4 linked regions of the Tamandua tetradactyla genome follow. The protein of the gene in region 2 binds, or shares a complex with, the protein of the main gene of each other region. Links are inferred from orthologs where the notes say so. Each region holds a gene or a part of one and is shown on either strand. Other genes may lie near its edges.

What was found.
Region 1: SNRPF (region 2) and CRNKL1 share a complex: the UniProt entries of both Homo sapiens proteins name them as parts of the minor spliceosome. The link is inferred for Tamandua tetradactyla from reciprocal best matches to the Homo sapiens genes SNRPF and CRNKL1.
Region 3: SNRPF (region 2) and SRRM2 share a complex: the UniProt entries of both Homo sapiens proteins name them as parts of the minor spliceosome. The link is inferred for Tamandua tetradactyla from reciprocal best matches to the Homo sapiens genes SNRPF and SRRM2.
Region 4: SNRPF (region 2) and SCNM1 share a complex: the UniProt entries of both Homo sapiens proteins name them as parts of the minor spliceosome. The link is inferred for Tamandua tetradactyla from reciprocal best matches to the Homo sapiens genes SNRPF and SCNM1.

Annotation. Positions count from the first base shown.
Region 1 is NC_135327.1:40,345,807-40,353,692, forward strand, and holds the start of CRNKL1 (crooked neck-like protein 1), read left to right. Parts: upstream 1-4,173; 5' UTR 4,174-4,284; coding exon 4,285-4,335; intron 4,336-6,547; coding exon 6,548-6,700; intron 6,701-7,529; coding exon 7,530-7,621; intron 7,622-7,886. UniProt on the Homo sapiens protein: Involved in pre-mRNA splicing process. As a component of the minor spliceosome, involved in the splicing of U12-type introns in pre-mRNAs.
Region 2 is NC_135333.1:165,942,309-165,950,453, reverse strand, and holds the start of SNRPF (small nuclear ribonucleoprotein F), read right to left. Parts: upstream 3,319-8,145; 5' UTR 3,126-3,318; intron 2,931-3,125; 5' UTR 2,768-2,930; coding exon 2,765-2,767; intron 13-2,764; coding exon 1-12. UniProt on the Homo sapiens protein: Plays a role in pre-mRNA splicing as a core component of the spliceosomal U1, U2, U4 and U5 small nuclear ribonucleoproteins (snRNPs), the building blocks of the spliceosome.
Region 3 is NC_135349.1:54,601,785-54,609,793, reverse strand, and holds the start of SRRM2 (serine/arginine repetitive matrix protein 2), read right to left. Parts: upstream 3,939-8,009; 5' UTR 3,734-3,938; intron 3,385-3,733; exon of another isoform or gene 3,103-3,384; intron 580-3,102; 5' UTR 551-579; coding exon 309-550; intron 1-308. UniProt on the Homo sapiens protein: Required for pre-mRNA splicing as component of the spliceosome. As a component of the minor spliceosome, involved in the splicing of U12-type introns in pre-mRNAs.
Region 4 is NC_135330.1:4,391,357-4,399,369, reverse strand, and holds SCNM1 (sodium channel modifier 1), read left to right. Parts: upstream 1-4,832; 5' UTR 4,833-5,378; coding exon 5,379-5,429; intron 5,430-5,698; coding exon 5,699-5,769; intron 5,770-6,015; coding exon 6,016-6,104; intron 6,105-6,205; coding exon 6,206-6,303; intron 6,304-6,414; coding exon 6,415-6,503; intron 6,504-7,339; coding exon 7,340-7,534; intron 7,535-7,689; coding exon 7,690-7,789; 3' UTR 7,790-7,839; downstream 7,840-8,013. Other genes in the region: LYSMD1 (lysM and putative peptidoglycan-binding domain-containing protein 1), read right to left, coding at 4,323-4,502. UniProt on the Homo sapiens protein: As a component of the minor spliceosome, involved in the splicing of U12-type introns in pre-mRNAs. Plays a role in the regulation of primary cilia length and Hedgehog signaling.

The sequences.
Region 1 (7,886 bases), on a different chromosome or scaffold from region 2:
AGAAAGTAAAAAGACAGCCTAGGTGGGCCACGGTGGCTCAGCAGGCAAGAATGCTCACCTGCCATGCCAGAGGACCCGGGTTCGATTCCCAGTGCCTGTCCATGTAAAAATAAAAAAAATAAAAAAAGACAGCCTACACAATGGGAGACAATATTTGGAAACGACATATCAGATAAAGGTCTAGTATCCAGAATTTATAAAGAGATTGTTCAACTCAACAACAAAAAGACAGCCAACCCAATTACAAAATGGGAAAAAGACTTGAACAGACACTTCTCAGAAGAGGAAATACAAATGGCCAAAAGGCACATGAAGAGATGCTCAATGTCCCTGGCCATTAGAGAAATGCAAATCAAAACCACAAAGAGATATTATCTCACACTCACCAGAATGGCCATTATCAACAAAACAGAAAATGACAAGTGCTGGATAGGATGTGGAGAAAGAGGCACACTTATCCACTGTTGGTGGGAATGTCAAATGGTGCAACCACTGTGGAAGGCAGCTTGGCGGTTCCTCAAAAAGCTGAATATAGAATTGCCATATGACCCAGCAATATCATTGCTAGGTATCTACTCAGAGGACATAAGGGCAAAGACACAAACAGACATTTGCACACCAATGTTTTATAGCAGTATTATTACAATTGCAAGGAGATGGAAACAGCCAAAATGTCCATCAACAGATGAGTGGCTAAACAAACTGTGGTATATACATACAATGGAATATTATGCAGCTTTAAGACAGAACAAACTTATGAAGTATGTGACAACATGGATGGACCTTGAGAACATTATGCTGAGTGAGACTAGCCAAAAACTAAAGGACAAATACTGTATGGTTTCATTGATATGAACTGACATTGGTGAATAAACTTGGAATATTTTGTTTGTAACAGAGACCATCAGGAGATAGAAATAGGGTGAGATATTGGGTAATTGGAGCTGAAGGGATACAGACTGTGCAACAGGAGTGGATACAAAAACTCAGAAATGGACAGCACAATACTACCTAACTGTAATATAATTATGTTAAAACACTGAATGAAGCTGCATGTGAGAATGATAGAGGGAGGAGGGCTGGGGACATAAATGAAATTGGAAAGAAAGATAGATGTTAAAGATTGAGATGGTATAATCTAGGAATGCCTAGAGTGTATGATAGTGAAATGTACAAGGTACAATTTTAAAAATGTTTTTGCATGAGGAAGAACAAAGGAATGTCATTATTGCAGGGTGCTGAAAATAGATGGTAATTAATATTTTTAAATGTCACCTTCTCTGTGAGACTAAAGCAAAAAATGTTTATTAGTTACAAAATTTATATTTTGACTAGTGCATTTCCTAATATAACTTATGTAGATAGTTTGATTGAACACCATAAGTACTTGGAATCTCAGGTTGGACATGAGATTTTGCTGGTTTGTCCAGAGTGATGCCCCGATGAATCCCAGAGTGATTCAATCAGTGAGTGGAAAAGTATTTGCAAAGCCCCCATCGGGGAGTGGTGAGAATGCGGAGAAATTCAACTTCCCCAAGTTGAATTCTTGATATTCTCACAAGCAGTGTGGACAACCAAAGATATAGGCAGAGCCCCCAGTCTTGGGGTTTGTTCATATGAAACTGAACCCTGCAAAGGATAGGTCAAGTCTACTTAAAATTTAGGCCTAAGAGTCACCCCCAAGAAAGCCTCTTTTGTTGCTCATATGTGGCCCCTCTCTCCAGCCAACACAATGAGCAGTCTCACCACTCTACCCGTCTCTATGTGGGACATGACTCCCAGGGGTGTGGACCTTCCTGGCAACGTGGGACAGAGATCTCGGAATGAATGGAGGGGATTCATTGGGATTGAGAAAAACCCTAGAATGAGCTGAGACTTAGCATCAAGGGATTGAGAAAACCTTATCGACCAAAAGGGGGAAGAGGGAAATGAGACAAAGTGTCAATGGCTGATAGATTCCAAACAGAGTCAAGAGGTTACCCTGGAGGTTATTCTTATGCATCAAGTAGATATCATCTTGTTATTCAAGATGTAATGGAGAGGCTGGAGGGAACTGCCTGAAAATGTAGAGCTGTGTTCCAGTAGCCATGTTTCTTGAGGATGATTGAATAATGATACAGCTGTCACAATGTGACTGTGTGATTGTGAAAACCTTGTGTCTGATGCTCCTTTTATCTACCTTGTCAACAAAGGAGTAGAACATATGGAATAAAAATAAATAAGGGGAACAAATGCTAAAATAAATTTAGTTTAAATGCTAGTGAACAATGAAAGCAAGGGGTAAGGGGTATGGTAGGTATAATCCTTTTTTTTCTTTCCTGTGTTCATTTTATTTCTTCTTCTATTGTCTTTTTATTTCTTTTTCTGAATTAATGCAAATGTTCTAAGAAATGATGAATATGCAACTAAGTGATGATATTGTGAATTACTGATTATGTATGTTGTTTTATTTTGTTTCTTTATTTTTTTAATTAATAAATAAATTTTAAAAAAATTTAAAAAAAGATTCTGGAAAAAAAAAGAAGTCACTGTATTCCAATAGAATTCTATTTATGGATGCAAAAATTTGAATTTCATATAACTTTCATGTATAATGAAATATTCTTTCGTTTTTTTTCAAAAAAAGTTTTTTTAATGTTAAAAAAAATTTTTAGCTCACAGGCTGTACAAAAACAGGGTATGGGCCAAATCTGGAAAACCATTTCAGTTCTGAGGGGAAAACTGCCTCAACTATTCCAAAACAGAGGGAGTGGACCTCAGAGCTAAGAGACCACAAAGCCAAACTTCTATACCTAAAGATGAAAGTGAAATCATACTGAGAGAGAATACCATTCAAAGAAAGTTGTTGAAAGAACCAGTAAAAGATGAATTCCAGGAAGGAAAAAAAAATTAAAATCAGAAAGGATTGGAATGCAAGATGCAGTTCTGAGGGAAAAAAACAGTAAACATGAAGGTATATCTAAATAGGCATTGATGGCAAAAAGAAAAGTAATAATAATGATAAATTTCTGCTTAAAAGTAAAGTTGCACTAAATCACCAGAGAATAAAACATGTGAGATGCAAGCACAGTAAATAGAAGTAAAGTATTCTAGGGTATTTGTATCTTTGAGAGGAGGCTAGAGATTACTAACTTTAAACTTTGTTAAACATTATTACAAATTAAGGGTACTCACTAAACAATCTTCTATTTAAATATTTAAATAGAAGTATTTAAAGATAATATAGATGGTACAAAGTTATTGGAAATATTTTGATCTTCATTACAAACGGTTGCAGTTTGGGAAATCAGCTTAAATTTTTTTTAAGAAATAAATATCTGCATAGATAAAAGCAGTAAACTTGATATTATTACATACGTAAATATTTTTTTTTCTGGCAAACACCAGAGACTTGAACTGTCATAATTCTCTTAACCATTTGTTCGCACATACTTCATTTTTTTATTTTTGAAGGCTGGTCAAGAATTATACAAGTTAATATTTATGGAGCACTTTACATCGATTTTCTCTTTAATCCCTGTGAAATAGATATTATTGTTCTGTCGTTAGTCGAGGACGTTGAGGCTAAGAGTAAGTAAATAAGGCACACTCACAGAGAATTTATTTACATGACCATAAAGCTGGGTGGTTTGCTACTTAGACACTAGGCTGGCTTTCATTATTTTCTTGTGATTAATATCTGGCTTCAAAATATCTTCCATTATTTTTAACTTCCGAGTCTTGGCATTAATCTTCTGGGCACAACTGTTTCGAAACGGAGGGAGTGGACCTCACACTTAAGAGACCACAAAGCCTAGAATGCAACGCGGCGCCAGGCCGCCCGGGAGCGCAGCAGCTCGCGGCAGGGCATGCTGGGAGTGGTAGTTTCCTAGCCGCCCTAACTTCTCCAACCTTCGATAGCGTCCGAATTGGACCTCGGTCCCTAATCTCTAAAACGCGGCGGTTCCCCTTGTCTTCGTATTCCCGGTGACTGACCTAGGAATGCTCCGCTGACACCTTGAACCCAGTCTCCACGTCCCTCCCGGCCAGGCTAGTACTGCCCACCTTACCTGCAGCTTCGGAGGACGCACAACCCGGTTACCACAGAAACGGCGCTGCCTCCGTCACGGCGCGTGTTAGAGGTTAAGGGTCATCAAATCGGTTCCGGCTTCAGTTCCGGTTCCGGAATTCCGCTTGTTGTCGGAAAGCTTTGGAGTGTATGCTCCAAATACTCGAAGTATACTCCGAATACTCGGAGCAGGTTTCTGCCGTTCAAGGGGTGGCGTGTGGCGCACTGCTGCCGACATGGCGGCCTCCACCGCGGCCGGGAAGCAGCGGATTCCTAAAGTGGCCAAAGTAGGCGATAGCGAGGGATCTTGTGGGAGAGGGCCTGTAAGAAGAGTTTCCCCCAGACCCAACCTCCGTGGTGCCCGGGCAGGGGCGAATGTTATCCCGGGACCAGGGCCACCCCGCCTGGTGCCGCGGGAGAAGAGACAGGGAGGGTCAGCCGGTGGTCTGGCGCGGGCTTTTGTCTCCCCAGAGCACGACCCGCGTCGGCATGGCTTTAGTTTTGGGAAGGTGTTTTTGCTGGACGAGGAGAGAGGTCATTCAGCACAGTTTTATTGTGTTGGCGCTTAGCGCCTGTGTCTTACGCTAAATGTAACGTTGCAACCTCCTAAAGCTACTGGAGCAAAGTGGAAGATGCCATGGGCGAGAATAAGGGGAGTTCTGCGAAGCGGGGAGTCTTCAGAAAAAAAAACTTTGCTGAGGAAGTGATATTTAAGCTGAGACTTGATGGCTGAGTAAGAGTTAAGCCAGCGGAGACTGGAAGGAATGAGAGTAGGTTACAAGGGTTGTGGAGCTGCGTAAATGGAATTAAATAGTAAGCTTAATATTATCTGATAGTTCAATCCATGGCTCATATTTACCGGGTGCTTAATATGTGTCAAACTCTGTGCTCATCCTTTCCAAACATCGTTATCTCCTGTCTGTCTCCAGTCCAGATGTGTCTCTTGAGGTTGGCGTTTTCATCTCTATTTAGATATGATTCCTAGAGATAATGCAAATAAAGCACAGTATCTGGGACACAGTGCTCATTACTTACATGTGGCATTAAATATTTCTTATAATTCAATTTCATAAATTTTATTCAGTACCTTCTATATAAAATAGACCTGAAGGAACCAATACCGAGCAGGACTTGATCTAAAGTAGTGCTTTCCGGTAGAAATATAGTGTGTTCAAACGAAATATATGTAGTTTTAAATTTTCTCATAGCCGCATTAAAAAGTTAAAAAAAACAGGCGAAATTAATTTAAAAAACATTTTTAACCTCGTATATCTAAAATTTTGTCATTTTGACATGTAGTCAATATAAAAAATTTAATGGGGCAGTTTGCATTCTTTTTCATACTAAATTTTCAAAATTATATGTAGTTTGCGTTTAAAGCTAATCTCATTTGAATTCATCATATTTGGGCCATAGCTACTGTGTTGGACAGCACAGCTCTAAGACCTCAAGAAGTTTATAATCTAACCATGAGAACATGTTCAATATTGTCTTTGACTTGAGGTGATTTGAAAACCAATCCCTATTGTTTGAAAATGGGTAGAGGCGATGGTAACACATTATTGTGAGAATAACAGTATTATATGGTGTCTGAATGTGGTAGGAAGAGGAAGTTTAGAGTCATGTATGTCACCAGAAGGAAAGTTGGAGCTTAAAACATGGGAATGTATAATACTGTGAATCTTGTGATGGACAATGACTAATTGTACAAATATAAAAAATGTTCTTAAATGAACTAGAACAATTGTACAACATTATTACAAGGAGTTAATTATAGTAGGGTGCACTGGGGAAAATGTACATATTGCTAACTAATGACTATAGTTAACAGTAATATCTTAATATTCTTTCATCAGCAGTAACAGATGTGCCACACTATGAGTCATTAATGGGATATGGGAGGATTTGGGTTTTCTTTTTTCTTTTTATTGCTTTTATGTAGTAATGAAAATGTTCTAGAGTTGATCAAGGTGACGTATGCACAACTTATGTGATGATATCGTGGGTCAGCGATTGTATACTTCGGATGGTTTGTATGGTGTGTGAATATGTTAATAAAACTGCGTTAAAGATAAAAAAATAAAATCCAGTCCCTGTCGTCCCCTCAGGGCATCAAGATAAACTGAGGAGTCCCATAAATAGAGGTTGTAATGCCAAATAAGATATGGTACACATCTTGATAAAGCAATACCTCTGGTGAGAATTTTACCCAGACAGCCCCAAAGTTTATTGTTATATTAAGCTAAAGCGCAAACTTGCTATTATCACTACCTGTCTTCTTAACTCTTTTACTTATGGCTTTGGTAATAGATAAAATATACAAGATAGTAAGCATAATATTTTTTCTTTACAGTCTCATAGAAAAATGAAACATGTCATACAGATAGAGCATTTTATGATAATACGCATGAAGTTCACATCCTAAAAAAATTTTGGTTCTTTAAAAAATCTTATGTGAAGAGCATCTACCCAAACTAGAAATGTCTTCTGTCTTAAAAGGTGAAAAACAAAGCCCCTGCTGAGGTACAGATAACTGCTGAACAACTCTTAAGAGAAGCTAAAGAAAGAGAACTTGAGCTACTTCCACCTCCACCGCAACAGAAGATCACAGATGAAGAAGAGTTAAATGATTATAAACTAAGGAAAAGGAAGGTGAGTCCATGTGATATTTTTGAGAGTCTGTCAGTATTGACAAGAATTTATAGGTTAGAGTTTGAAAAGGTGCACATTAGAGAGTCTCTAAGATAAGATTAGTGTTTCTAGCCATGTGAATAATATAACTTCTGGTTACCAGATAACTACCTTTTGCTGAACTCTAAACGATGCCATGAGTTGTCTGTTTTAAAGTGTAAAGACATTAACTCCACCAGAGTCGTTATTTTTGATGCCAAATTGAAGATTTGTGAAACAACTGACAACTGTAAGAAGGGTGTACTTAGCAAATGTATTATATATTTTTGTCTCACTTCCCTTCTGTTTTAAGAATGGGGATATGAAAAAAGTGGTGAAAAGACTTGAATGTGATTTGACTTTCCCACGCTGGAGTGTGTGAATATTTTAAATTTAAGATAGTGTTTTTAACAATATACACTAATCCTGTTGTATCTACTTTTAGTCTCATTGAGTTGTATGTGAAATTCTAAAAGGACTTAAAGATAATCATCAAAACTTTTCTTAGGACAAATGTAGAGTGTATTCAAGTGTCAGTTGTCATGGGTTACAGGAAAAAATAGTGACAATTCTGCTACCAATTCTTCATATTCCTTTTTTTCTTTTTATCTACATATAGGACTTTAAAGAAACCTGTGATTCTAATTTTCTTAAATGAAGTTCTTGTTTCTCTCAAGGATTCCAGGACATACTTTTTCTTAAATAAGAATAAAATGAATTTTTTGTTTTTTAATGCAAGGAATAATAAACAAAAAATGATGTCATTTTTAGTTGTTTTTTCTTTAATTTGACTCTTCTTGCCTTCTTCCAGACTTTTGAAGATAACATAAGAAAAAACAGGACTGTGATTAGTAACTGGATAAAATACGCACAATGGGAAGAGAGTCTAAAAGAGATTCAAAGGTAAAATTGCTGAGAGTATAATTTTGCATATAAAGATTAATGTTATATGTTAACAAATACAGGAAATTAGGAAAAGTAACTCTGGCAGTATTTTTCACTTCTGTTCCATGGAATCCTAGGGTTCCTTTAAGAGATCTCAGGAGCACTGTGAAAGGATTGTCCTAACATGACAGGAAGAAGCAGTACAGGCAAATACCACCACTGCCTCACACTGTACAACCAGAGAAGCTCAGTTTCATCTATTTCCTATATAGTGAGAGTGTTA
Region 2 (8,145 bases):
GAGGGGTAAACTCTGCACAAGGAACAACAACAAAAGGACTCAACTGATTATTTTCCTTTAACTTGGCTTCTCCACCCACTCTACTCTCTCAAATCACCAACCAATATTTTATAGCACCCAAATCAAGCAAACTCTTGACTCCCTCTCACTTTACTATATATTTCATTTGTTGAAAGGCATCATGGAACTTTAAGTAGCCCATCTTCAACCTATCAAAACTTTAAAACTTATCCTTTATTCATTATTCACTTAAACAGTGATTGCCTACTTTACATCACTCATTGTTCCAGGTTCTAAAGAAACAAAGCTAAAGGCACTAAAAAAATGCAAATGACATCGTCCCCTCCCCAAGAAGCTTGGGGGGCATGAGGGTAGAGGTAACATAAAGGATGAGAGATGTTCGAAGGGAAAAAGGGCTTTTTTGGGGAACATAGGCAGGCTCTGGGAATCAAACACGGGGTCTCTGGCATGGTAGGCGAGAATTCTGCCACTGAGCCACTGCTGCACCGCCCAAAAAAGGGATTTTTTAAAGCACAGATTACCAATAGAAAAGCAGGGAAAGGTGAAGTAACAAGGCAAGCGCAGAGACGTACAAATACTTCAGTACTGTTAGAGCCCCAAATATGAAGCTACAGAAGGAAGCACAAGATAGAACATGTTTGACTAACTCACACGTTAATTCTTGAGGTCAGGGCTAGGTGGGTTTTTTGACTTGCTATCACTAATGCCTAGCAATGCCTGCCTCCGTATGGGCAATCACTTAACCTCTGTTTATGAAGCCAACCAGTAGTATCCTAGGTGAGTTCAGACTTTTCTCTTTCCCTTATCTGTTCACCCAAAAGCACAAAGAAAAGAACCATGAAACTTGGCTACTAATCGCCCCTCTAAGAATAGCATATTCAAAGTGATCTCAAAGGACATGGAGACAATGGAAATAGGCACCTAATGGGTCTCCAGTTTTTACTCATCTCTTCCCAATTTATTATCACTACTGCAACTATTATTTTGTTGTAGGAAATGTGAATATTTATTGAGACTTCAAAAAATACTATATATTTTTTATCTTTTTGTGGAAACGAATGCCCTTTGATCTCACAAGAATTTCCAAGATGAAATCATTGTCCTCATTTTCATTGAGAAGAATGATTGGTTAAGAAAAGTTATGAACATCTTTAATCTAGTGTTAGATGATCAATCTGTAGAAAATAGGCTTGTCAGATAAACATTATGATCAGGTCAACCATGTCTTCCCTTTCCACTTTTCCTTTTTTGTGATCTTTGTGTCTGTCTCTAGTTCATCTCTTCCTCAATTTTGAGGCAAGATTTACCGTGTTGCTATTTGTCTGATCAATTCTTTTTGAGAATAAAGTCCACATCTTCCCACTTTCTTTTTTTTTTTTTTGCAAACACTTACTTCACCCCCACCCCCTTCCATCTCCTGGTAACCTCTAATCTGCTTTCCACCTCTAGCAATTCGCTATTTCTAGTCAACTTTTATGATTGATAAAATACAATACCTGAACATAAGTGTCTTGCTTATTTCACCCAGCATGTTTTCAAAGTTCTTCCATGTGGCAGCATCTCACAACTACATTCTTTTTTACAACCAAATAACATTAAATAATGTGTATACACCATATTTTGTTTATTCATTCATTTGTTGTTGGATACGTGGGTTGTTTCTACTTTTTGATGTTGCGGATAATGCTGCTATAAAAGCTGGTGTCCAAGTATCTGTTTGTGACCCTATTTTCATTTTCTCTGCTTATGTACCCAGAAGTAGAATTGCCAGGTCATATGATAATTCTATATTGAACCACTGTCTTTTAAAGTATATATTCAGTCACATCTTATCTCTGCTTAAAATGCTTACATGGCTCCAATTACACTTGGAATAAAATTCAAACCCCCTTACATGGCCTAAAAGGGCCTACCCAATTCCTGCTCCTCCTGTCCTATCTCATAATCACTTTTCTTGCATGCAGTTGTGGCTTTTTGTCAATTCGTGTAACTGGTCAAGCTTTCTTTACGACTTTAGGGCCTCTGTTTATGTTTCTTGTAGTTCAGTCTTTCTATTTTTTAGGTCTCTGGTCAAATCCCACCTCCCACAGAGGCCATCCCTGACCATCCATCTCCACACCCAGGCACATCACCCCGCACAGCATCCTGTTTAGTTCCTTATTACCACTTATCATTACTTGCAACTATATATTTACTCCTATTACTGAGTAACGTCTGTTTTCCACAAACAACCATGAGTTCACCTAGGACAGGGTAAACATGAATATTTTTCACACGATATTCCTAACGCCCTTGAGCAGTATCTAGTAAGTAATATGCGCTTAATAAATATCTGCTGAATGGATAAATGAATGCTCTCAAGTCTGGGCTTTGTGTTCCAGAGGGCTGCAGGGCTGAGTATCCTAACACCATGGAATAAAAGTGGGTTTGGGGGTTTTTGAACCCAGCGATCCAAGACCCTGGTTCATCTTTACCCAGACCCGGTGGTCCCAGCCAGCGGGAAATCTCAGATCCGGATGCAAACGAAGAAGGGAAGGGGCCCTACTGGGGAGGGGGCGAGGAGGGCTCCGGAAGAAGCGCGCGCCTCAGACCCCTCCAGATCAGAGAGAAAGAGACTGGCTGCAGCGCGCGCGGCCCCTCACGCGAATGAATGGGGAAGGCGTGAAACCGCCACCAGGCCGGGCGAGGCTGCTGCCCTCCCTCTCGCCCTCTCCGGTGAGCCTGGCCGCTCTCTCCTTCTTACCATCGTGACTACCAATGAATGCTGCAGGCCGCTCGCCTCCGACCCCGCTGTCGTCCGTCCCCGGTGTCTGGAGCGGCTGTCGTAGGCCGGGGGTCTCTGAACCTGAGGAGAAATGGCCGCCAAACAGCAGCGTGACCTTTCACCTCCACCACAGCCCTCCTGACGCCTGTGATTGGACGCAAAGAGATGCATGCTGATTGGAGGAGGCGGCTGGTCACGTCTCCTGGCAACCCACGTCGTGCGCGAGTGCTTTCGGGGTCGCGGACCCGGCTACAGCCTGAGGCCCTGCGCTCGGGACACGGGTCCCTGGGGGCCGGCAGAGCCCGCGGGGGGCCCTTGGACACGCCGTTTGCTCACTCACCCAGGGGGCCTTTGGAAGAACCTTGTCTAGACCTCCGGGTTGGGAGACGCTGTGCACAATGCCAAACGGACGTGATTTCTGTGCTAGGGATTCCCCTTGCCCTGTACTTCCATGGGAACGAGCTCGGGCATCTCGAGTGTCTTCTTTACGTTCCCGCGGATTTTATGACCGGCGGGAGAGATGGCGGCGCCTCTGCCACGGTCTCCTTGTACCTGCGGGTCCTTTTTATTCTGTAGTGCTCATTCTGACCCCGCAGAAAGTCAGGTCCGGAACTGACTTCCGATGAGGTGAAGCCGAGTCTGGAAACGGGGTGGCGGTCCCTGCCATTCCTCTTCTTTTCCGCTGCCCGCGGGGACCGGTAGACCCGTTCCGTGCGTGCGCGGTCGAGGCCCGAGCGGGTGCCGGGGCCGCCCTGCCCGCCTCCCGGGCCCTCGATCCTCGCTCCTCTCTACCCTGAAGGAACCCCAGTCAGTTCTTGAGAACTTGCTGCGGCCCTTGGGGGAGGAATTTGGGCCGAGGATGGAGTGTTAGGAAGGAAGACGGTTGGGGCCTCGGGACCTCAGGACGGTGAGAGGCGCCGTTGGTTCCTACAACTTGTGCTGGGACCCAGCCGGGTCCCGAGGGCCGGTGAGTACAGGTTCGTGGAAAGGCGCTTGGAGCGGCGCTGTCGGTTTACTTTTGTTTTAGAATAGTTTATGCCAAGCAATTTTTGTAATTACTCCAGATGTCTATGGACTTCCCCTTATCTTGACAATTACTCAGTAAATACCTAGCCTTCGTGCAGACTTTGCGTTCCGATGTCTGCCAGGCCCTCGACCGCCGTTAGCGAGGAAATCTTCCCTCGGGGTCTGTGATTTGGCAGTTACCAGCCCCATTTTAGAGATGAGATGAGCAAACGGGCTCGGCAGCTATATTTTTCAGAAGTCTGACTTTTTAAAAAAAGCCATTTTCTCAGTGAAGTAAAAGAAAAAATTTCACCCCAAACGTTAATCTTTGTAAAGCTAGTTGTGTTTAAAGTTGTTTTTTTCTTCTCACGTTGAATATTATGACTATAAATGCCAGACGTATGTTTTGTGGGAATTTTGGAAGATACAAAAAGTTCTAAAAATTAAACCAAAAATCACTGGTAATTCCATCAATCAAAGTCAACAAAGTTTACTTTGTTACTTTGTACAGTTATTGTAACATATGTACGTTTAAAAACAGATATTTTGTAACTTTTCACTTTATAGTGTGCAAATTCTTATATAAATAAAAATTCTTCTAAAGTGTGGTTTAATGCCTCCATTCTACTATTTTATGCATATATGATGATTAATTAATCATTCTTTTGTCATTCCCAGTTCCCCCCATAAATGTGTGTTGAACATATTTGTGTGTGACTCTTTGAGGGTATTTCTGATTGCTTGAAATAAATCTCCGATCCTTCCTGGGTTAAAGGACATTATTATTTTAAAGACTTCTAGAAGTATATTTTGCCATGTTGGCAAAGATTCAACAGAATATCTATCAGAATAATTGGTTTAATCTGTGGGAAATAAAAAGGTTTACATTTTTTGAAGAAAGGATAGAATACATTTTGGGTACACTTTGAGGAAACTGTCCCGAGTTATTAATTAGGCTGAGCAAGTTGGTAAGACCTGAGTGCTACCACACCTCAGCACATGATCCAAAAATTCCAATGTAAACAAACATTTAGAGTAATTTAGTAAATGACCAAGAAATTTTTATTGAGAATCTTCTATGAAGTAGGCACTCAGAGGGTAAAATAGTGAGTAAATTGGACATGTAATCTCTGCCCTTGTGGAACTTAAAAACCTCTTTGAAAGGAAGGGAGCTAACGCACATTGACTGCCTGCCATGTTATGCTGGTGTATTTCATGTTATTTATTTTAAGTCCTTACCATATGTCAAGATAGGTATCATAGTCCCCATTTCGGAGCAGAGGAGGCAGTCACAGAGGTTATGCATTTTTGTCCAAGGCCATGTGGAAGGTGAAATGGATCCAAAGCCTAGGAGACAATGCCTACCCTCTCAGTGTTTTTGAATAGAGTATAAATAAATATATAGAATCCCCAAAAGGATGAAGGGGAATAGAGTTCAGAAAGTTCTCTTTGAAATCCATGATCTCTGCCTTTCATTTTCTCTCTTTTATTCCCATAATCTCAACATTTTGTTTTTCTATGATTATAGTCAGAAACAGTTATAGTTATGGCTAAAGTAAGTTTAAGGGAGGAAAATCTAAGTTTCAAGTACCTTCTATTTAGTTGATGCTTTACACATTTTGTGTTATACCTGAGAGATGTGGTATTTTGTCTCGTAAAGAAATTAAGGCTCAAAAATAATTAACTTCCCGGAGCCTGCCCATGCCAATATATATATATTTATATTTATGTTTATATTTATATTTATATATATTAACTTCCTTAACTCATAAAGCCACTACACCTAAATTAGAATCAAAGTCTTTTTGGTGGTTCAAAGCACTTCCTGTTCCTATCATACAGAGGGAACTGTACCTCAAAGGAAACCTGGCACTGTGGTGGGAGCCAAGACCACCTGAGTTCAAATCCTCATTCTGCCATGTGCTAGTTAATTTATCTTGCCTCAGTTTCTGCATCAATAAAGAGAGGACAACAAGGACAGTACTTCTCTTACAGCGTTGTTTTTAGGAACTAGCAGCCGAAAACCTGAGAGACAAAGTAAGGCTGAGAAAGCCTGAGTTGGGCTATAAGATTTGTTCATATATATAACAAGGTTATATAAAAAAGGACAATATTTGAGGTATCAGAAGATGTCACTGAAAACATTGATATAATATACTTAACAGCACTTTTTATATGATGGTTTATGTGATTAGCAGCATCATGGTTCCCAGAGCTGGTCTGAGACCAGATTTGAATCTGGGTTTGAATCCTGGCTCCAACATCTACTAACTGTGAGAACATGGGAAGAGAACTCAACCTCGATAAGCTTTTTCCACCATTAAATAAGAATACTTCCTCCTTTCTCCCAGAGTGGTAGTGAGCATTAAGAGTTAATACAAGACTCCCTCTCTTTCCTTCCTGAACAATTCAGTCCTAAGGTCCTCAAGAGAAGCTGAGCAAAGAAGGCATTTATGCTGTGGAATGGGGGTTGCTGCATGGGCCCAAATTGGGTGAGGAAGGTGTCCACACAGATGGCATCCCGGAGGCTGGGTGCAGAGCCTGACCAGGAAGAGAGGTTTGAAAGAGCCAAAGTGTTCATCAATAAACAACTCAGTAGATGGGCTGTCACACATCTACAAAATAGAATATTTGCAGTTGTACTAAAGAAAGAAGTATCCATAAATAGATATGGAAAGCTCTCCGAGATAAATTACTAAGAAAAGTATGACACAATAATGTAATGTGTTACCTTGTGTTGAAAAGGGAAATAACAGTCTATTTGTATGTGCATAAATTAACTGGAGGATTCCTAAATACTAAGAACATTGGCTACCCTAATTGGAGTATAATGGGAATTGGGTTGAAAGCAGATAAGGATGAGGCTTTTTACTGTATGTGCTGTTTTATATGTTCTATTTTTGGAACCCTTGAGTGAATTGCCTATTAAAAATTAAACTGAGGATGCAGGGAGGATGGCAGAATAGGGTAGTCTGAGCTCGCCTCTGCTCTGTGGAACAACTAGAGAAGTGACAGGAGGACAGCAGTTCCAGGGTATGAGTACCAAAGAGGGACTTCTACATTATTTAGGGAGGACCTGGATGAAAAAACAGAAATTATGACTGAGAAGATGGGGTGAGTTAACTCAGTTGTGATGCAACTGGGGCAGGCTGCAGCATGCAGGCTGGAGTGGAGCCGAATGCTCCTGCACTCCTGCCCACCTCCATTTCAGCTTGAGAGGTCTTCCCTCTTGGCCCTGCAGCTGGGGCTCCCGTGGGGAACTACAAAGCCAGCAGACTTGGTTTACTGCAGAGGCCTTGCTGCCAGTGCACAGGGCCTGCCCACCAACCCCTGAGGAAAGTCGCTGTGGGAGCCTGGTTTGGGTGGAGGCTGGGGGGCCCTTCCCTTGGGAGGAGGGGGGAACACAGAGCAGAGCCAATCTGACAGCTAGTGAGAGAGACTCCCTGGGTCCTGCTACATCTATCCTTTTGTCTTGGAGGCCTGGAGTGCTCACAGCATGCATGGGTGGAGAGGTGGGGACAATGGGGCAAGCCGTGCAGCACCCCCAGGCACTCCTGGCTGGCTGAGGACAGGGGCAGTTGTAATACTCAGTCCTCAGTCTTTGCACGCAGGAGCCCGGCAACCACCAGACCCATGGTGCCCACAAGTGGATTCCCCACCGTGGTGCACACTGCCCACCCCCGGCCCTGGGGATGGTGGCTCTCACTGCACATCTTGACCTGCGGCCCTGGCTGGCTTTACACTGGGTTGGGATCCAGCAGGGGTAAGTCAGGCCTGATGGAGAGAGGTGGCCCAAGAGCACCATCTGCTGGAAAGACCAGGGAGGTGTAGCCTGGCAAGCCACCATTCTGCCTAGCCTCTAAAAGATCTCCAGTTAGAGTTGCATCTCCTGCATGAGGTCCCGGCCTTGGTTTGGCAGAGAACTGCTGACAAACCAAGTGCAAAAGGAGACCTTCAACACAAACCCAAACAACTCCAAAATCTTAGATGACTTTGAAATCAATTTTCAAACTAATTTTTTCAAGATAATCAAATGTCATGAAGTCAACAAAAAAATCACGAAGCACATGAAGATGCAAGAAATTGTGACCCAGCCAAATGACCAATTTAAAACACCAGAGGAGACACAGAATTTGGAACAACTAATCAAAGATGTTCATACGAATCTCTTAAATAAGTTCAGTGGGTCGGCTAAAAAAAGATAGGAAGATACTAGACAGCATAAAGAAGAATTTGAAAGAATAAATAGAAAAATAACAGACCTTACAGAAATGAAAGTTGCTGTAGCTCAAATTAAAAATATACTAGAGACACACAACAGTAGATTTGAAGAGGTGAAAAAAAATAAGTGAACT
Region 3 (8,009 bases), on a different chromosome or scaffold from region 2:
TTGTCTCTGCTTTCCTACTTTCCCTCAAAACACATTTTTGTTCCTCAACTCTCCCCTTTACCCGTGCGACTCCATCTAAATAATCCAAAGACTCGCTCAGGCTCCCGTCTGTGTCCCAAACAGTGTCCTCATCTCCCACTTTGATCTGTCCCTTAGATCCTTTCCAATTCTCCAGCTTATTCACCTCCTCCCCTATGACGACTCCTAGTCAGTCCTCTTTCAACCAGTTCTAAGCTCCCCAAATTCCACCTAACTTCCCCAGCTCTGCACTCACTCGATGCTTGGCTCTCCCACAGCCCTCCCCTCACCCCTGCTCTTCCATCATCTCCTCCAGCTCGAGGCATCGCAGCTCCACGCGCCGCTTGCGCTCGTGGTCCAGGATGTCAGGATTAGGCCGCTTCACCAGGGCAGCCTCCAGGCGCCGCAGTTCCTCCTCTCCCTTGTAGTCAGGCCGCTCACCCCGGCGGCCCCGCACCAGGGACAGGTTGCGCTGGACGTAGCCGTTGGTGCCGCTGCCCCGGGGCGTCGGCAGCCCGATCCCGTTGTACATGGCCCCGTGCCCGGGGGGCACCACCGCTCCTGGGGGGGAGCGGGTAGACACGGGTCAGGCCCCTGGCCCCAAACTAACCACTTACCACCACCCAAGTCCCTGCTCTCCTCCTCCATCTCTATTTCAACATTCACCTCCACACTAAACCTCCTTCAGCTGTACACTGATTCATCATCCTCTGGTCTCCTAATATGCCCCTTCATCCTCCCCACACTTCTTCCTGTCCATCAAATCACAGCCCTACTTTTAAAGCCTTTCTCCCAGTACTCCTGCACAAAACTCTCAATTATTTCTTCTTAGATTTTGTTTTCCAACTGAGGCAAACAAGGATGCAATTTCTCTCAAACCTCTCCACACTGTCCCTTTAACCTCCTTTGGCCCCAATAAGCACAAATAGTGCCTTCTCCAACTACTGGACTTCCTAGCCAGTAACTGACTGAAGCCTCAAATGGGGCACAATGAACACCAGAGAGATCTGAGGCACCCAAAGGCCTGTGGTCCAAGCTCCAAAACTCTTCCAAGAGTCCAGGCCAACCCGTATGAACACAAAATGGACTAAAATGCCCCTAGATATCTAAACTAGTGGACTAATTGGTTAAAAGAAATCAAGTTTCCTGTGAAGCCTCACACCCAGACTAAAATCCAACATGTACCTCAGAAACTTACATAAACCTTGGCTAAACCCCTTATACTTCGTTCACCTCCTAGTAAACGGCTACTTTTCCTTGGTTCCAAACATTCACAGCTCCTAAAAACTATCTGAATATTTCATTCCTTCAATATTTTTCCCAAGAGGAATTCCCACGATCAGCATGCTGTTCCTTCAATGCTAACTCCTGTTAAATATTAGTTTTCAACTCAGAGCTCTACTTAAATTCATCAAATCAGCCTTCTCTGTTCTAATTCATCCCATACCTTTCACTATACTCCTTGCCTCATAAGCTTACTCAAAAGACCTTCCCTCTCTATACCTCACTTTCATTAGTCAACCTGTCCTTGGTTTTCCCTACCAAACCCCTGTATCTCACTTTCTAGTTTTCTCTCCTAGCCCTGTCTTCTCCCTGTCATGTTAATCCCATGCCTCCCACCACGTTCTATTCTTTCAACTTGTCCCACCACTAACAAGACCCTGAAGAACCATCGAGTCCCAGTTTTTCCAGTTAGATTTTGTGACTCCACACACTCCATTCCTTTCTCCCACTCATCCTCTCCAAGACAATTTCACAGAGCATGAGCGTATGAGAAAAAGACCCAAGGAACGGCTAAAGAAAAGAATACAGAAATAATCAGATAAAAGGAAAGGAGCATCATACAAACAGATATACTAGGGGAAAAAGAAAAAAAAAGCATGGAACGATTCTGAACGAACAGAATGGATAGCTCAGTTTCACAACAATTTACCCCATAAAACTAAGGCCGGTTCCCTGCCCAACCCCAGCAGAAAACCTAAGACAGAATTAAAAGCAGAAAAAGATAGGTATAACGCCTTTCAAAAAATAACTTTTTTCAAAGGTAAGGGAGTGGCAAATGAGGCCAAATCTAGAAAAGGCAAGTGGAAAGGCCCAAGAAAATGAAAAAACTTCCTTATAGCCCAAGAAATCAGCTATTACTGTACCCTCCCACTGTCACTTTCGTTTTTTTCCAATACCAATCCTCCCCACTCTAAAGCCCTCTTTGCCTCTCTACACCCCACCTAACTTTCCACTTCCCCCACACAATGCTTCTGACCATTCTTCAGCTTACTTAACCATTCACCCGCACTTCCACACCACCTCACACAAAAATCCTCCCACTCCCCAGGGAGAAAAAACTAGTAGCTGCCAAGCAAAGGGTATTTAGTCACAATGAATTGGAGAACTTTTAGGACACGATCAAATCAAACGAAACAAAAGAGAAAAAAACAAACAAAAACACCAGGGCAACCAAGGAGGTTCTCAAAACACTAAAAGAAGGGACCAAGCAGGAGAAGGAACTTCATAAAACAGGAATTTTAAACCGGGGTCCAAAGACTGTGGGCATGCACAGATGATCCGATGTAAAAATAGAAAGTTAAATCAAACTGCAAAGGAAGGCAAAAGAGACATTCTTCTATGGGAAAATCATCAGGATCCCAAATCAGGAGATAGACGGGAATATCGAAATTTAAAAATCAAAAAATGAAATAGCACCACAAGGAGGGAAGGTGTACAGGGACACATAGGTAACATGGCAAGACCGGGGCTGGGACGTTGTAATAGGTGAATAAACACTATGGAACTCAGAAAAGTAAACTGTGATCTCAGGAAGAGACCTAAACCCACACAACTAACACGGAAGACCCCAAAATAGATTTCTTCTGAATTTTTTTGTATCTAAAGGACATCTCAGAGACGCCATGTGGAAACCAGGGCTCAAAAAAATTGCGGCCCAAAGAGCGCTTGAAACAGGAAGCCAAGTCTCTAGGTCTGGAGTTTTATTTCCAACGAAGGGCTCCAACAGTCTCCTTAGGTTTAACGATTTGGGGGCAGATAATGAAAATATGAAAAAAAGAGCACACATAATACCTTACATACCTAGGCTGAATACGCAGGAATTTTTTTTAAAGGTCCCACCCTCAATCCTCTAATAAAACGACTTCAAGATGCCTAAATCTCGGGGGCATCTAGTACTAGGCATTCCCTGAACTAGCTGGGCCGCGCACGCCTATTTTCGGCCTTGAGGGATGGGGGAGGGGGCTGCGCGGCGCCCCGCAGTCTGGGAGGAGCCGGACCAACGAAGCCTCCGGGTTTGCCAACAGGCCCCCGAGAGGGACGGGGAAGCCCAGTGCCGGAGAGATCGCCGGAGAGAAGGCCCGGGAGAAGGCTCCCGGCCGCCCCCCACCCCACCCCACCCCCCAAAAAAGGCCGAAATGAACAGCGGCGGCCCCAGGACCGGGGGCGGCGAGAAGACGGGGCGCGCGCGAGCCCGAATGCGGCCGGCGGCGCGCGCCGTTGCCATGGGGGAAGGGAGAGAAGCCCTTGAGCTACGAGAACCGAGGGAGGGGGAGGGGAAGCAGGCAAGCGAGGGCGTCCGCGCGAGCTAGGAGCATCCAACGCGCGTGCGCGAAACGGCCTAGGCCGTTCTCCCCGCGCTTTGGCCTCGCGCCGGGGCCGCCGTGCGGCTGCCCCTCCCCCACCCGGTCCGCGCGCTCCCTCACCCTCTCACCCGCCGCCGCCGCCTCCTCCGCCCGCCGCCTCCGAGGGGGAGAGGTACTGCCGCTGTCTGAGCTCTCGAGTCCCTCGGGGCCTGGAGCCGCAGCCTACACCCGCCGATCCGCCCGCCTCAGCCGACGCCGACGCCTCTCTGCTTCCTCAGGGGCCGCAGCAGGCTCCGACTGCGCCACTCGCTCCCCGCCTGGGCCGCGCTGCACGTCAGCACGCCTGACTAAGCGCGTCAGCACGCAGCCGCGCGCGTCGCAGGGCCCGCCGGGAATCGTAGTATGCCCTGCACACTTTTGCGCAGGCGCCAAAGTCACACCGGGAAGTGTGGTTTCTTAAGGCCCGAAAGTGGTGACTCGTGGCTGCGAGTCACCGAGAACTGCGGGTCCCGTCGGCCAATACAAGGAAGGTGGGGGGAGCGGCCGGAGCGAGTAACGTATTCCGGAGGCTTTCTGCTGGGGAGAACGACCCACAGCTGAGCGCCACCTCGACCGTCGCTCTAGCGCTCCTCGGCCGCCCGCCTTCCGCCGCAGAGCATTCTGGAAGTTGTAGTTCTTGCATGGCGAAGAACCCGTATGTAGCGTCGGTCAGGGGTGCGGGCGCCATCTTGTCTCCCCATTTTGGGAGGCGATGGCTCAAGCCCCGCAACAAAGCTCCTGCCATGTGAGTGCGGGCTCGAGGGGCGCGCTGGCGTCCATGCGGCTCCCAGCCTTGGTTCCGGGGAAAGCCGTCCCGGACCCCGGACGATGGGCCCCCCTGGCCCAGACACAGGCCGAGCTATGCTGGTGGTGGTCGCAGGCTTCACTCGTGCAGACCGCGCGGAAAGGTGGCAGCTTGCCCCCGGAGATAGTTTTCGGTTATCCCCTAGTAAGGCGACCTGGCAGAGATGCAGTTTTCTCTTACTTAACTTGGAACGTGTTAGACGTAAATGTATACACACGGAGATGTGACAGGAAAAGAAAAAGTTATGATCACCCCTCCCCCTTAAAAAATTAAATCCATTTTTCTGATCCCAAGAAGCAGCCAGTCTCTTGGAGCAGAGATATAAGAAATTGGGCTTTTCAGACGGGCCAAAGTTTAAATCTGGCTCCACCGCCTGTGGCTATCCTGGTTCTCTCCAGTGTCCTCACCCCCTTCCTAGGGCCTACGGTCGCCATCCCACACGCAGGTTTTGAGAACATCCTTGCTCACAGGACACGCTCGTCGCCGGCCTCGGCACTGGGGATCTTGACTTTGCATGGGAGCTGTGGCTTCAGTTTGCAGGGAATTGCCCTGAATCCTACCTCTTTGAGCCGTGGCCTTTGGCCAGTGCGTCCCTGAGCTGGACGCTCCTCAGGGAAACTATGGCTATGGAAAGCTTTTGTCTTCCTGGGCCTGAGCTGTTTGGCGTTCCTGAGGTGGAGGCTGGAGGCTGGAGGGTGGGGGGGTTTTAAAAAGAAGTATTCCAACCCAACTCCTGAGGAGCCGGGGTGGGCACATTCTCAACCCGAAAGAGCACACCGGGCACGGGGTTTAGACATGACTTCTTAGCAGAAGATTCTTCTTGACGGCGGTGTCCTGCGGGGAGGTTGAGGGGTGCAAAGGATAGCTTGTGAGGGTTTAGGACAGAGACATTCCGTGGGGTGTAGGAGCAGAGCTTCAGCAGGTGTCCTGGCACAGGGGTGTGGAGATGTGTTATTACCGTGCTGGGGAAGAGGAGTTTCAGTGCCCTCACAAGGTAAGCGGCGTGTGATGCCATCTGTACCGTCTTTCCTCCTTGAGGGGGGCGTCATGTAGGCAGCTAGTGCCTAACTCCCCTTCGGAACGGAGGTGGGGCCCAGGCCCTGGGTCTCCCCAACCACCTTCCCAGTGAAACCCTTCCCTGACACCCAGCGTCCCGTGAGAGTCTTCCCTCTATTTATTGAATGTTTGGGGCTGAGTTCTGTGCTTGAATCAGCTCGTTTAATGCTCAGGACAACCCTATGCGGTGGGTGTTGCTCGCCGTTGTTGCTTCCTGTAGAAACGGAGCTCGAAGGATATTAAGGAATGATGAGAAAGAAAGAAAGGAAGAAGGAGAGAAAGAAAGACACAGACGGGCTCAGGGGGTCTGAAGCTTGAGTTTACTTCAGACAGACTTCAGACAATTTTATTTTATTTTTTATTAATGAAGTTTTTTTATTAATTACAAAAATTAACTAACAACATTTAGAAATCATTCCATTCTACATATGCAATCAGTAATTCTTAATATCATCACATAGATGTATGATCATCATTTCTTAGTACATTTGCATCGATTTAGGAAAAGAACTAGCAAAACAACAGAAAAAGATATAGAATGATAATATAGAGAAAAAATAAAAATAATAATAAAAATAAAAAATATATAAAAAAGGAAAAAAACAAAAAACACAAACAAACAACAAAAAAAAAACTATAGCTCAGATGCAGCTTCATTCAGTGTTTTAACATAATTACATTACAATTAGGTAGTATTGTGCTGTCCATTTTTGAGTTTTTGTATTTAGTCCTGTTGCACAGTCTGTATCCCTTCCGCTCCAATTACCCATTATCTTACCCTGTTTCTAACTCCTGCTGGTCTCTGTTACCAATGACATATTCCAAGTTTATTCTCGAATGTCGGTTCACATCAGTGGGACCATACAGTATTTGTCCTTTAGTTTTTGGCTAGACTCACTCAGCATAATGTTCTCTAGGTCCATCCATGTTATTACATGCTTCATAAGTTTATTCTGTCTTAAAGCTGCATAATATTCCATCATATGTATATACCACAGTTTGTTTAGCCACTCTTCTGTTGATGGAGATTTTGGCTGTTTCCATCTCTTTGCAATTGTAAATAACGCTGCTACAAACATTGGTGTGCAAATGTCCATTTGTGTCTTTGCCCTTAAGTTCTTTGAGTAGATACCTAGCAATGGTATTGCTGGGTCGTATGTCAATTCTATATTCAGCTTTTTGAGGAACCGCCAAACTGCTTTCCACAGTGGTTGCACCATTTGACATTCCCACCAACAGTGGATAAATGCAATTTTATTCTTAACCAGATCCTGGTTATATACCACAGGATGACAATAGGCATGCATGCATTTCCCCAGGGAACAAAGTTCTTATCTTTCAGTGTTCTTCCTTCGTACTTAAAATAACCATTTGGGGTAAACAAACATTCTCTTCCTCCTAAACTGTCTTACATAAATCAGATAACATAAAGCAGTTTACTGCCACCACCACACTAATGCCATCTACTCCCAAGTAGTTCCACAAGTCTTATATTAATCCTGTCTCCTATACCCCGTTTCCCCTGGGGAGAACAGTTAATATCCACAATCCAGTAATCAAAATTATGAAAGTACATTGAAACAGTGCTATTATCAAATCTCCAGACCTTATGGAGATGTCAACAGTTCTGGTAACAAAAAGCCCTTTATAGCAAAAGGAAGTCCAGGGTGGTGCCTGGATGGAATTCAGTTAGATTCCCTAGACCAGTACAACCTTGAGTAATTCTGACTCCTCGTTTTAATTTATCATGTTGACGTTGTTGGAGGGTGCAGGCCGTTTATCTGGTAGCCTGTCCCTCCGTTTGGGTTGGTCTGAGGTTTCATCATGATCCAGGTTATGCATTTGTGGCAGGAATCCCACACAAGCGATGTTGGTTCTTCACAGCACATGATGTCAGGAGGCTGGTGCTGCCCATTGCTGCCCCTTACTGCCAACGCTGATTTTGCTCATTAGGTTGACAGAGGGACAACCAGGTTTCTAGCTGTAAAATCGCTAGTTTAGGGGGTACAAGGGTAGTTCAGTGGTAACATCCCCACCTGCCATACCGGAGACCCGGGTTCGATTCCCTGCCCATGCACTTCCCAAAAATGACGAACAAACAAAAACCAAGCAAAAAACCAAAAATCAAAAAAATGGTGCTGCAATAAGGGGATACCTACATGGAAAAAGAGTAAAATGTGACCCCCACCATACAGTGTACAAAGAAAAAAAAATTTACTAATTTACCCTTTGTAGTTAAAAGCAGTGTTCAGAGGAGAATTTATTTAGAAACCAAGATCTGCCTACTCTGTGCGCTTAACTGTTACTAGGGTGTCATTGCTTCTGGGCCGTCTTTGAGGACAGAGCTTGGGAAATGGATAAACTTTATCCGTTAGTTCATGCTGTCCAGTACTGCAGGATCCCTTTTGTCCTTTCCCCTCTCCATGTTAACTCCTTTTTCCAACTGTGAGAGTCCTTGCTTTGCTTTTCCAGGATATGCAAAGTTATTTGCTTAATCCTAAAAT
Region 4 (8,013 bases), on a different chromosome or scaffold from region 2:
AAAGAGGTCCTCCAGAAGTAATTCTTTCCATTACAATACTAATAATTTCATTGAGCAGATATCTATTAAGTTAACTGTTTATTCATCATTGAGCACAATGACTATCATCACTATCTATATTCCTGGTCTCTCCAAAGTAGAAAAATCAATGTCATCCTCAACTCACATTTTTCGTCCTCCACTCATACCCACCTGGTCAACAAAAGTATTTCAAAAATCTCTTTCATAGCTGGTCTTTTTTTCATATATGCCTCAGAAAAGACCTTTATATTTCTGCAACAGTTTTTAAACTGGTCTTTCTCGCTCCATTCCTACTTACCACCCACACTGCTGACATCCACCTTTCTGAAAAAAAATTCAGATCAAACCACAAAGCAATCTCACTTATAAACCTCCTATGGTTCCCTACCAGCTAAACAAGAAATCCAAATTAGCATTCAAGGACTTTCTCAATAGAGCCCCTGTAGAAAATGTAAACCCTCATCTCTCTTCTTCTGCCAATACATTTTGTAGTCTCAACTTTGCACTGTTCTTTGAACATTTCATGTTCTTTCACATTTTTGTGTCTTTACTCATAATATTCCTTCAGACTGAAATGCTTCCTCGTAGCCCCTTCTCTGCCTGGAAAACTTCTACTTATCAACTATCACTATCACCGTCTTTGTGATAGTCCTTCTTCAGGGCTCCCAAAGCATCTGTAAGTATTGCTGCAATAATACTCTCCTATTACACAGTTAATCATCTCTGCGTTTTGTCTTGCCTGCCAGCCTGTGTGTCCTCTAAGGGCAGTGATGATAACTTGATGTCTCTATATCCCACGGTGCTCTTCAATGCTCCACAATGCTTGGCACATACCAGGGGCTCATGAATGCTTTATAATAAATAAACCAGATAATAAATAGAGAAACCATAGACATAACCTATCAGTATTTTACTATCAGAAAGTCAGGTTGCCAGTTTTACTGAAAACTCACCTCATATTGGCACCAGTACGGAAAGCATATTTCTTATATTTGTCAAATATCAAAGCTGTTTCCACCCTGGGGGAAGACTACTATAATAAACTTGACCAACAAAATCTTATTCTATTATAATACGTTTAAAAAGAAAACTGGATTAAACTGAACAATTAAAAAAAAAAGTAAAACTGGCTTGTACTTTTGTACTTTAAACTTGCTAAGTGCTTTCATGCTTTTAATTTTAGTTTGTCTAGATAATATCCTAGGTCCCTTCCAGCTCCAAGACGCTATGAGTTACTCTGAATTTTCTGTTGCTTTTATTTTTTCCTGGAAATGTAACTACATGCTATATATATGTTACCACTATTAAAAAGGGGGATATAATTGAGGCCAAAATTTAGCCATAGCCACAGAGCTAGAAATGCCTTTAGAATCTAGTTTGTGTAAAAGAGCAGTTAAAAGTGAAGGTTTCAGAAGGAGACAATTTAGCCTGAACCCTATCTCTACCAATATACTAGTTGCATTGATATATGGCAGGTTATCTTATCTCCCTAAGTCCTAGTTTCCTCAACTTTAAAGGGATAGTTACACCTACCTCACAGAGTCTTACAAAAATAATGAGATAATACGTTTATGAGCTTGACACATAGTAAATAAATGGTAGGGAGATAATAACTTTACTATCATTATTATATATTATATAATTATATATCATTATTTAATACATTTCTTCATTTTACAAATGGTGAAGAAACTGAGGCCTCAGTAAAAGGAAATGACTTACGTGGTCACTCAGCTAGTAAGCAGCAGAATGGGTCTAGAACATAGGACTCTTCTTCCTTAGACTACAGATATTTGCACACTAATGTTCATAAGTGACATAATTCACAACTGCTAAAACATGGAAGCAACTCAAGTGTCCATCGATAGATGAATGGATAAACAAAATGTGGTATATACAACAGAATATTACTCAGCTGCAAAAACAAATGAAGTTCTGATACATGTGACAACTTGGAAGAACCGTGGAGACATCATGTTGAGTTAAACAGGCCAGAGACAAAAAGACAAATATTGTGTGACCTCACTGATATCAAATAATTAGAATAAGAAAACTCACAGAGTCAGAATCTAGAACATAGGTTACGAGGGGATGGGAATGTGGGGGCAGGGTAGGGAATAGGAAGTTAAGGCTTAAAATGTACAGAGTCTCTATTCAGGACGACAGAAAAGTTTTGGTAATAGATGGTGGTGATGGCAGCACAATATGGTGAACATAATTAACAGCAATGAGTTATACATTTGAATGTGATTAAAAGGGGGAAATTTTAGGTTGTATATATGTTACTAAAAGAAAAAAAAATCCATGGCACTGCACAACACAGTAAACCCTAATTTAAACTATGGACTATAGGTAATAGTACAATTATAAAAACGTGCTTTCATCATCTGTAACAGATGTAGCGCACCAATGCAAGGTGTTAATAATAGGGTGGCATAAGGGAATCCCGTATTTGATGCATGATTTTTCCTAAACTCACAGCTTCTCTAATAAAAAGAATATACATATATTTTAAAGTAACATTTAAGCAGAGACCCAAAGGCTGAATGAGAATTAGCCAGGTGAAAAAGAAAAGGGGAATGATAGCAACGATAATTTCTAACATGTATACAAGCATGCATAATTTCCAAAGGTGAAACTGAGAGAAAATTCAGTTTGGCAAAACGTGGTGAGGTTCTGTTGGCACTGTAGGCATGGCAGTTCTTCACTGTGGGGGTGCCCCAGGCAGTGCTGCACGCTTGACACCCCAGGCCCCTGCGCACTAAATGGTGACAACTCCCACTGCACACATTCCCCAATGCTCCCTGGTCATGTAAGGAGAACTGCCTCCAGGGGAGAACTGCTGGGTACATGATCTAGCGTGTGCACACACGAAAGCGTGTGAGACAGAGGGTGGCTAGGGGGACACGGAATGGGAGAAAAAAAAAATTCTCTGATATTTATTGTAAATATTAAATACTAAATGATTCACTGGTGGCTCAGATGCATCTATGCATGGCTTCTAGGCCCCAGCTGAGACCCAGGGGCTGTCCTGTACTTCCATACCAGCTTCCTTTGCTGAGGGCATTCCCTATACTTGAAATATTTTCTTTCCTATACTCCATGGATAGAAATCTTAGCCATATCCATTCAGTCATTCAAAAAACATCTGTTCAGCTTCTATGTGTTGCGCTGTGCCAGACTCTAGGAATATAAGGTTGAAATGGTTTCTACCCTTAAGGAGAGTATAGGCTGCTGGAAAGACAAAGATGGCAAACAACTGGTATTACATAGTAGAGGGGGCCACAGAGGAAGGAACTTCTAAGTCTTTCAAGGTCCATGGTGTTGGCTCCCTGAAAAATCTGCACTAGTGTTCCCCCCCTTGTCCCCCTCTGAATAAAAATTAACCTCCTTTTCTGATTTCCTGCTCTTTATTAAATACCTCTACTAGTTCACAACACAGTCTGCCACCTGCAGTCACTATTTGTGTCCCTGTCCACTTCACATTAGACTGTAAATTACACGATGGTAATGACCACATCTCTCAAGATGGTTACCACAGTGCTTTAAATATATGAAGCATAAAAACAAAGTTGGCTAAATCCAATACTTGTTTGTTAGATTGAACAGGATATGGGGAAAAATTCACCAACTTTAATGTGCTCAAAGTAAGCGCTAAAGGGGAGGGTCTGTGCAATATATTTTTACACTTGTCAAAAATACCCCATACATGACCTGAAATACTTGGGGAAGAGAGTACCTTACCAGAAAGAAGGCAGAGCACGGAAGGAGGGAAATACAGCAAGAAAAGATAAGCACCCAGGAACTTAGAACTAAAAATCAGCTCTCCATTAGCTACTGTAAATATTTAATCACTCTCAATTAAAAAAAAATCTATGTGGTTAATAGCCACAAAAGCTAGTAAGGCTTCAGAGTCAGACAGACCTGTTTGAATTCCAACGCTGACACTCATTAGCTATTTGACTCGGGTCAAACTGGTTAACCAATCTGTCTCAGTTTTGTCATCGGCAAAAAGAGGACAATAGTCGTATACTTGATAGGGACATGAGGATCAAATGAGCCAATGTACGTAAATCAACTAGCATACTGGCTGACATACAGTCGGCTGCTCCTCTCTATCGGGATAGTGGGAGAGGATCTGTCCCGACCAGACAGTGCAACACTGAGAGATGTCAGCAAACGAAAGGATATAGGTAAACAGAACACGAGCACAGCCTCAGTTAGGAAACATTCAGGGGAAGTTCATCTTGAGGAGCCAAAGCATTCTTCTGAGGAATAACTCTCCTAATTGGGAGACTCACCGTTACCCCGTATTTGAGTGCTAGTCCAGCCAGCGTGTCTCCGGGCTCCAGCTGATGCTCCAGGCGTCTTTCTCTCACTGGAGAACAGGCAGACTGCACCAGGCTACCATAAGAACGAGCCCGGCTTCCCTGAAGCAGTCCTGAACCCCCAAGAGGAACCTGTCTAGAGGGAGAAGCCATCTCCTCACCCTGCCGACAGCTGAGTCTGCGACTGAGAAGGCCCGGCTAAATCCAGGGTATTCCTTTCTTCTTCTTTCCTAAATCTTCCCCAACCCACCCCCTCGCCCTTAGCTCCCCTTTATTCCCCCAAACCTCCTCCCGCCTCTGTCACTCCACCCCCTTCCCCGCCCTCTCTCCTTTCAAGCCCCTTTTCCCACAGTCCTAGTTCTTGAATATTCAGTTTCCCGAGTCTCCCTTTAGCCACCCACCAACCTTCGACCTCCCACAAGTCCTCGCTCCACTGACCTCTGACTTTTGAACTCTAGGTACCCTCGCAACACCCTTTTCTCAGTTTGTTCTCTCAGCCGGGCAGCCCGGCCTCCCCCACTGCGGCTCCGCCCCGTCCAGGGGTTGGTCCGTTAGGGTCAGGAACAAATCAGGCCTACTCGGGGTGAGCTGTCGCCACAGACGAAGGGCTTAAGGATGGCGAGCGTTTGTAGTCCACTTCCATTCAGGGACTCTAAGAAGCCAGCTCAGCATCACATCGGTCACACTCTCAAATCCGGGCTCAAGCATCAGCTCCACATCTAGGATCTTGTGCCTCCAAAGGCCTCGAATCTTCCAAGATGCAAGGGCCTTGGTTCCAGCCCTTTGAGAAAAGACTTCATCTCCCGAAAGGCCCCGCGCGTCGGGGGCGCCGGGAGCCAACGCAGAGCCGCTTCCGCCCCCTTCGCCGTCGCGCAGTGCATACAGGGAACCGCGTCCCCGGAAGTCGGGCGGCCAACCGGAAGGAAACCAGGAGAGGGAAAGCAGACACCTTTTACCTGCTAAGATGGCTTGAAAGGTGCGGGTGATGCATTGCTAGCGAGTTTATGGCTGCTGGGACTCACGATAGCGATGTCTTTCAAGAGGGAAGGGGACGATTGGAGTCAACTCAATGTGCTCAAAGTAAGCGCTAAAGGGGAGGGTCTGGAGCAGCTTCAGCCGCCCTCTGAAGTTTTTGAAAGAGCTTTGCCGGGTTGCTCAGGCAGCAGCTCCGGGGACGGGAGGGAGCCAGGCGACTAGAGCTGGAGGTGCACCCCCTTTTCGCCCTTTGATCGCTGTTCTCTCTATGGTCATTATTACCTTTGATTCTTCATCACTATAATTTCCCTTCCATACTTTGTCCTGCTTATTTCTTTGACCCTGTTCGATTTCTTCCCTCGCACCCCCTGCAGAAACGAAGAGTCGGTGACCTCTTGGCCAGTTATATCCCGGAGGATGAGGCACTGATGCTGCGGGATGGACGGTGAGGGCAATGAGTGACGCAAGTCTGAGGTTTCTGCGGTTACAGGTCCAATAAACTGTTGTTGTTAAGGAGAAGACTGGGAGTTACTAGGACTCTGGTGCGGCGTGAGGGACCAGAAGAGATAGGGATATGGTTGGTAAAGATCGGGAAACCTGAGAGTGGCCTATGAAAAGGACTAGTGGGACAGGGTGGAACCTGTAGGAGGAACCCTCCTGATCCAGTTATCCTCTTCTCTCACCTCCCTAGCTTTGCTTGTGCCATCTGTCCCCACCGACCTGTACTGGACACCCTGGCTATGTTGACTGCCCACCGTGCAGGCAAGAAACATCTGTCTAGTAAGTTTGGGGGGAAGACAGGAAACAGAGAGTAGACCCTCGAAATCTCTGCAGGTCACTCTTGGTACATTGCTTGTAATTTCCTTTCCGTTGCTCCTCAGGCCTGCAGCTTTTCTATGGCAAAAAGCAACCAGGAAGGGGAAAGGAGCAGAATCCAAAACAGCAAAATGAATTGAGGAGGGAGGAGACCAAATCAGAGGTAATCAAGAGGTAATCCTAGGCAGGGCTCTGCCACACACGCCAGGCTGGAAAGGCTTTGGCTCCTCTCTAGCTCTGAAGGCTCTGATTCGGTCTCCTGTTTCCCTGCCAGGCTCCTTTGCTGGCCCAGACTCGATTTATCACCCAGAGTGCGCTGCACAGAGCCCCCCACTATAACAGTTGCTGCCGTCGGAAGTACAGGTCTGTGGGATGGGAAAGCCAGAGGAAAATATGGTGATTTGAGGATGAAGAATAGGGAAAGAGTAACTTTGCTATTAGTTCTTACATTTAGGTCCATAATCATTTTGAGTTACTTTTGGGGTGGGGGGTGGGGGGTGGTGCCTGGTCTGGGAATTGAAATGAGTTACTTTTTGTATATGGCTTGAAGTAAGGGTCCAGTTCATTCTTTTGCATGTGGGTTATTCAGTTGTCTCAGCATCATTTGTTGAAAAGACTGTTCTTTATCCACTGAGCATTACTGCATTAGGAAAAATTAAGAATTGAAGAATAACTATGAAAAGTTATTTCACTTCACATTAGTTAGATGGAGACAATGGATGGAAAAATATATATGGTATGGGAATCAGTCTTAAGGCAGGGAGGGACCTAGATAGATGGAAGGCAAAAGGAGATAGATAGCTCTAAAAATATTGTTTTCCAAATTGTATTCTGAGGAATTTGAGAGTTCTAGAGATATTAATTGGTATTTCAGGAAAAAGAAAACTTTGTGATTTTAAATAAAGTTTGGGAAATAGTACTTTGTACTCTTACTTGAGGAATAGTAATATCAGCATATTTTAAAGGCTCTACAAAGTCTTAAAATTAAAAATATATATATTTTAAAAATTTTGTTTACTATAGGCTTTTCCTAAATTCATTTGATTACAAATTCCTCATATGCAGAACACTTATTAATATCTTGAGAAGCAGTTTAGGAACCAGTTGTTTAGGCAACACTGCTTTTAGGGGGTGGGAGTCATAGAAGAGTTGGTCTTTTCCTTTATGGCATTTATATACTTCTATCCTTCTCTCCCTAGACCCGAAGCCCCTGGTCCTTCTGTCTCCTGTTCTCCTTTACCACCCCCAGAGGTTGAACTCCACAGTGGGATAATCAGCAGGCAGCCTGAGTCTGGGGCTGGCCCACAGGCCAAGGAGACAGCAACTGTCTTAGCCCCCCCACCCATGAGCCCCACAAGAAGACGAGCCCTGGATCGTTACCTCACCCTTCGAAGGTGAGTATGCAAAATCACTTTCCTCGGATTTTCTCTTTGCTCTCTGTCTCTCCTTTTTGCACACATACTTGATTGTTGTTTTCTTATCCCCATTAACGACTCAAACTTCCTTTTTCTCATTCTGACCAATTCTGTTTTCTCTGATGTTTTTCCAGCTCTGGATGGATCCCAGATGGACGAGGCCGATGGGTGAAAGATGAGAATGTTGAGTTTGACTCTGATGAGGAAGAACCCCCTGATCTCTCCTTGGACTAACACTGTCTTTCCCCATTTAATTCACAAATAAACTACAACAGGTGCTGGGAGCCTCACTTTTCTAGAGTCTGGTTCTTGTCCCATCTCAGGATTTCAGATCTGGCCACTCCTTCCCTGCAATGTACACAGCTCCCCATACTTCTCACCCTTCCCCCACTTTCTACCAAAGTCATGCCAAGCGTCAGCTGCATGCAACCCGGTGCCCTATTAATAAGTCTGTCAGA